Tribolium castaneum: one gene and its partner. The protein of the gene in region 1 interacts with the protein of each later gene in a biochemical or structural test. Links are inferred from orthologs where the notes say so. Each region holds a gene or a part of one and is shown on either strand. Other genes may lie near its edges. The genes, in order: serine/threonine-protein kinase VRK1 and baf.

Region 1 (3,905 bases):
TCGAACTAAAAACGAAAAATACACAACAGAAATCACGGAAATGCAAAAAATAAGCAAAAAGCTATTCAATTCGACAAAGCAGCTTATTGAATTTTAATCCACAGTGTGTCCATAGTCGTCTTGAACAATCATTCTTGAAAACAGGCTATGTGCTATTAAAACTTTTTAATTTCGAGTCAAAGGAAAGTGCAACGGTAATAATTATAGCTTGAGGAGGGTAATTATGAAGCCAATTCTTCAATATCTAATAACCACTTTGTTTGATGTTTGCAAGGACGTGGACGATTTTTTGCATTCTCTGAAGAACAGACGTTTTATTCATAAGTTTTTTGCACGACTTGAAAATCATTTCGTAAGTGAATAACAATGAGTATTCGCTATTTGATAACAAAAAATAAGTGTTTTTTCAAAATGTTAGACTGCTGTCAAATGCTCAAATAAGTGCTTCCCGTTGGTCACCAGTCGTCACGTGGTCGTGCTACCGCACTCTGATTGGTCATGTCACATTGCAATTTCCATGAGGTTAAATAAAATTGTATACGATATTAAAAAAATGATTATGGTTACAAATAATGGACCAAAGTTTACTTTTAAAATCTTTATTTTTATTAATTCGTAAAAAACAGTAAAGGTACTAAGTCTTCTTCCTCGGTTGTCTGGGAGTTCGCTCGTCGTAATTACAAGCCGGGAGATGGCGCCTAGGTCTTCCGTTCTCTCTCACTTCTTCACTTCTTCCTTTGTTAATCTTCTGTTTTATTTCGAGCATTTCGGCATTGTATACTTCGCCATCGCTATCATCACTACTGGCTTTCGTTTTCTTCTTTCGTGCCCCAAGATGACCATTTGTCTCTTCACTAGCTTTGTCTTTTTTCTTTCTTATTTCCATCATTCCGGCGTTGTCAACCTCACCATTTTTATCATCACTAGTTTTGGTTTTCTTTTTTTTGAGCGCATTTTTCTCCTTCTTGGCTAAGATTTCTTTCATGGCGGGTGTCATCACCTCTTCAGTCTTATTTTCTATCACTTCCTTCTGTTTCTTCTCCTTTTTTTTCGCCAGTTTCTTCACAGGTGTGACATTTTCATCATCTCCATCATCCAATCTATCCCCACATAAACTTCTTCTTTTTTTCACTGTCCCAAGGAAGTCAAAAGGACTGTCCACAGTTTTGCCATTCTTGCGAATTTCGTCCTCAAACAACGACCGAATTTTCTTATAATCAGGCACCTCATCAAACTTTAAACTATTAACGTATTGGAAATATTTGATTAAAGTTTCTAAAAAAACATAAAACAAAACAAACCAAACAACACAATTACACACTAACCGGATTTCTTGCCCAGGCACGTTTTAATAAACTTTGGGACGTCTTTTAAATTGTCTTCCTTCAACTGTTGGACGGTTTTGGGGTCGCTTAAGTGCGAGTCCCAGGGGAGGGTGCCCCCCAACCAATGAATTAAATTAAAGCCCAGAATTTCGAAATCGCCACGTCTGGTGGGCACTAGCAAGAAAATAAGATTGGAGCTACGCGAAAAAATAGTTACCCCCATGATGGGCGTCCCGGCTGGTGTACTCAATGGTGCCATCGTGGGCTTTTTTGGGGTTCGGTTTAAACTCCCGCTCTGTGCTAAACTTGGTCGCGAGACCAAAATCCACGAGGTAGACCTGGCTTTTATTGACCCCCAGAAGGACATTGCCCCCTTTTATGTCCCCATGGATGTACCCAAAGTCATGAATATATTCCAGAACGTAGGTCTACGAATAACTGTTACCACCCTGTTACGAAAAGTGAAAACGTACAATTTGCCACCCCATTTGAAAAACGGACGTGCTCGAAAGGGCCCCCTTGTCCCGCCTCAGTTGGTCAATATCAGCCCCGAATTTCTCCATGACAATAAACCGGTATTTGGAAGCCCCCATTTCGTGCGACCCTGACCCCAAATACGCCGGCATTCCGAACGTTTTCAATTTGTGCTTTTTCATAAAAGCCTCAACTACAACCCCAAATAACACAAAAAATATAAAAAAGGGGGAAAACACTTACTGTCGGCCTGTTTGGCGTTTTTCATGTAGAAGTGCATCTCGACGAAAAGGGGGCCGTTGCCGTGAGGCTCCACCTTCACAACGTAGGGGTATTTGGGGGACTTGGAGGAGGCCTCCTGAGCTGCGTAAATCTCCCCAAAGCCCCCTTTGCCGATGGACGGCCCCAACCTCCACTGGTTCTTCCCCACATCAACCAGGACTTCCCCTGCAGGCAGCGGCTCCGGCATTTTATAGCCGGTTGTTGCTTTTTTGCGAGGTTTTTTCACCGGTTTCGACATTTTGAGGTTAGAATCAAACGCCAAAAAACGAAGCGACACGAGCCACGCACACACGCAACACTTTTTGCACTTCCTTTAGAGCGAAACTAAACAACAAAAACGCGGTTTTAAATCCGAGATAACGAATTATGAAGAGATAACGAAAAACGCGCGAAAAAAAAACGGTGGTATGGCGGACGAAGGCACCAACTTAATAGCGCCACGGCTAAATTCCCTAAAGGCCGGGCGTTGTTGGCTGCCTAAGTGTCAATAAAATATTCAATTAGAACGCAATAATTGGGAATAAATTCGACTTTGAATGCGTTTGTTGCATTTGATCATTATTGTCTTATCACTATAAATCGTCGCGACCGCCAGATGTCGCCCAATTGAACAAAACACCATTCCGGAAATGTCAAACTGACAATCAACAATTGACTCGTGTTAGAACAGTTTTTTGAGCTGTGATGAATCATCAATGATAAATAAACCACTCAAGTGTGTGAAAAACAGTTAATTGAACTTAACTTTACCAGAAACCAGTACAGGTATGTATTGTCAGTGCCCCTGTCACTATAAATAACCCCCCAATTGTCAATTGTGTCATTCACTGATAACAGATATCAAGTTTCAATTCTAGAACTCGTGATTAATTGTGCGAAAATGTCGCTGTACCCTAGTCTCGAAGACATGAAAATCGACCAACTGTCGCGGGCTTTGAGTGGCCAGAGCCCCGCGACAGCCCCCCAGGTCAGCGCTTACCCGGCGCTGGGAGACTTCATGGGGCTCGAGCTGACCGAAGCCGTGATCAAGGAGAACATGCCAGAGTACCTGCAAGTGGCGGTGCCCCAATCGGTGAGTGCCCCCCTTAGCCCCACCCCCCTGACCGTGTTTTGCAGTCGGCGCCGATCGCCGTGGGGGCCACCAGCATGATCGCCCCCCTGTCGGGCCAGTCTTTGGGGCTGCACCGCGCGCAAGTCACCAACGGCGTGCGCCAGCTCACCCTCTGCAAAGACAAGGACGGCAAAGTGGGGCTGCGGGTCAAAGCGATCAACAACGGGGTTTTCGTCTGTCTGGTTGTTGATAACTCGCCGGCGGCGCTCGCGGGGCTCCGGTTTGGGGACCAGATCTTGCAAATAAACGGGGCCACAGTGGCCGGCTTTACAATGGATAAGGTCCATGAGATGTTCAAGAAAAGCCCAGTTAATGGGATTAACGTCGTTGTGAGGGACAGGCCCTTTGAACGCACCCTAACTTTGCATAAAGACAGTGCGGGAACTGTCGGTTTTCAGTTCAAGAACGGGAAAATTACCACGATTATTAAGGATTCGTCGGCGGCGCGAAATGGGGTTTTGACCGATCACCAGCTGCTGGAAGTTGAGGGGCAAAATGTGGTCGGGTTGAAAGACAAGCAGATCAGCAAGTTGATCGAGGAGGCCGGGGAGGTGGTTACGATCACGGTCGTGCCGAGCTTTATTTACGACCACATGGTCAAGAAGTAAGTTGTATGGACTTTTTTATGGCCTTACAACCCTCTCGAGTAGTTAAAAGTTCAAAAAAAATCCGTATGTTCGATTTTTGTCGCGATTTTGGTCGATTCCGGGTAT
Region 2 (2,515 bases), on another chromosome or scaffold:
GTGCAAAAAACGTTATAAGCATGTCGAACAGTAACAAACCCTTACCGTTCTCTATACTTAATATACTATAAGAACAATTTCTATAACGGAAAAAAAATTGATTTTACAGTAAATCCGTTTTTTAAACGAGTAGGCCGATGTGTCAGCGACCATCGACCGTCTTCTGTTTAATAAAAACGCTCAAAACTCAAAATGCGTTATTCGTTATTAAATTTTTAGGCGCTGCACGATTGAGCGTATTCAGCGTATTACGTGCGTGCTTACCCTTAAAAAATAAACTTAATTTGGACATAATAATTGTTCTGTACACTAGTGCGTAGCATGCAAAACGAATTTCATTTTTTTAATTAATAAGAAAATTAGCATAGACAATATAATGTATTCAATCCGAAAACGACTGAAAATCCATTATAGACGTTTTGGTAAGATATTCGCGTTCAATCCTTCTCTGTATCGTTCCAATTTTAGTATATGTACCGCCGAAGCGAGTAATAGACTTAATCCTTACAAAGAATCTCTTATTGGAAAACGACCCTCAGTCTCTTTCACAACTAAGTTCCGACCATAATCCGGTAATTTTCGAAATTTGAATAATTAATTATAATTATAATTATAATTATTAATTATAAATTATTCAAGTAATTGTTGGTACTAATCAGTATTGCCAACTCATTCCCCTAAATTTTTACTACGTGTTTACTATGATAGTAAAATCTATTACGTACCCTTAAAATTGTTGTATTATTATTATTACAAAGTGTGTTATAAGTGTTTAATTACATTACTAGAACAAAGAAAATGAACCCTGTTGCGTTTAAAACAATTTCCAGTACAAATATGGTAAAATTCAGTCCATCTTAAATTTGATCACAATTTTGATGGTCGAAGCTGTTTTATATTTTTTATATTAAAAACCATTAGAAATGAGTTAAATAACGACACTGATTCATATTTTCAAAAAAACCTTTATTGTTTCAGCCATAAAAATATTTTTATCGTTACAGCAAATGTAACTAATATCATTCAATAATATGCACGTCCAAGGTCAACAAGCCTCACAGCGCGCGGGAAAAGAGTGTCAGATCTGGTGCTAACTTCTCTAATCTGTGATCCTGCCAACAAAAAATTATCGACTGTGCGTTGAACCGAAAATTCGCTTAAAAATCAACGAATAAATTTAAAAAATTAGCAGAATTTCAATAACTATTCAAAGATTTAATTGTTTGTGGTTTTCTCATTAATTAATTATTAGTAAACAATTAATAAGTGCTTTTTCGAGATGATGATCCGTCCGAATTTTTGATTCGGTGGCAAAGCTCCCGCCAACGCGTTCTGTCATTTAGTACGTCCTTTTGCTAGTCAAAAGTTTATTTCTTTATTAAAAAAATGTCGAGTACATCCCAAAAACATCGCAATTTTATTGCTGAGCCCATGGGGGACAAGCCCGTGACTGAATTAGCAGGTGTGGGTGAAGTTTTAGGTAAACGTCTTTCGTCTGCCGGATTTGACAAGGTGAGGTTATGTTTTTACATTGCGCTTTTTTGCATAACATTTTCCTGTTTTAGGCGTATGTGGTGTTGGGCCAGTTTTTGATATTGAAGAAAAACCAAGAGCTTTTCCAAGAATGGATGAAAGACACTTGCCAGGCGAATTCAAAACAATCGGCTGATTGTTGGCAGTGTTTGAAAGACTGGTGTGAGGAGTTTTTGTAAAGTGGCTTGTATAGTTTGATGCTAAACACGTTTTATTAAAATAAGATAATACTTTACTAATGTAAATATTTTTATAAGTGAAATAATTTAGTTTAGCACAAAAATTATATTAAAAACGGCTCAAGTCTTTTATTACTCCCTTACACGAATAATTAATTACAAAATTATTGCTTTGCGTTTACAATGTTCACGAATTCGGGTTTGAGGGACGCACCCCCTACTAAAAATCCGTCAATATCAGGTTGGGCAGCCAATTCTTTGCAGTTGGCCCCAGTTACGGAGCCCCCGTATTGAATTCTGATACTATTTCCAACGTCCGCGTTAACGTTTGTGCAAAACCATTGTCTCAAAGCCTTGTGCACTTCTTGTGCTTGCTGAGGAGTGGCAGTTTTTCCCGTACCTATGGCCCACACCGGCTCATAAGCAACGACAACATTTGACCTAAAAAAATTCATTACGAACTGGGCTTTTCCCCACAATATGAATCACCAGTCTTTTATTTTCCCAGCAATAGCCTTAGTCTGTCTGAAGACAACCTCCTCAGTCTTGCCCCCTTCCCGTTCCTCCAAAGTCTCCCCAATGCAGGCGATAACTTTCAGGCCAGCCTCCAAGGCATGAGCCACTTTTTCGGCGATAAGTTCGTCAGTTTCGCCAAAAATCTGGCGACGCTCTGAGTGCCCCAGAATCACCCAATTCACGCCAATGTCTTTGATCATCGCGGGGGAAATCTCGCCGGTGAAGGCGCCTTTAGGAACTTTATAGCAGTTTTGGGCGGCCACTTCAATACTTTGGGGTAGGTTTGT

Evidence for each region.
Region 2: of the proteins of serine/threonine-protein kinase VRK1 (region 1) and baf, one has a biochemical effect on the other in vitro, tested with the Caenorhabditis elegans proteins (2 studies listed by BioGRID). The link is inferred for Tribolium castaneum from reciprocal best matches to the Caenorhabditis elegans genes vrk-1 and baf-1.

Annotation. Positions count from the first base shown.
Region 1 is NC_087395.1:23,675,283-23,679,187, reverse strand, and holds serine/threonine-protein kinase VRK1, read right to left. Parts: upstream 2,480-3,905; 5' UTR 2,320-2,479; coding exon 2,043-2,319; intron 1,993-2,042; coding exon 1,799-1,992; intron 1,754-1,798; coding exon 1,543-1,753; intron 1,500-1,542; coding exon 1,326-1,499; intron 1,276-1,325; coding exon 635-1,275; 3' UTR 584-634; downstream 1-583. Other genes in the region: syntenin-1, read left to right, coding at 2,962-3,153, 3,198-3,796. UniProt on the Caenorhabditis elegans protein: Serine/threonine kinase that phosphorylates baf-1, thus regulating the association of baf-1 with chromatin and nuclear membrane proteins during nuclear envelope formation. May act through the egl-17 signaling pathway.
Region 2 is NC_087402.1:5,990,875-5,993,389, forward strand, and holds baf (barrier-to-autointegration factor), read left to right. Parts: upstream 1-1,297; 5' UTR 1,298-1,386; coding exon 1,387-1,512; intron 1,513-1,565; coding exon 1,566-1,712; 3' UTR 1,713-1,831; downstream 1,832-2,515. Other genes in the region: Tpi (triosephosphate isomerase), read right to left, coding at 1,877-2,153, 2,202-2,515. UniProt on the Caenorhabditis elegans protein: DNA-binding protein which plays an essential role in nuclear envelope formation. Required for normal chromosome segregation during mitosis. Associates with the nuclear lamina via its interaction with LEM domain containing proteins emr-1 and lem-2.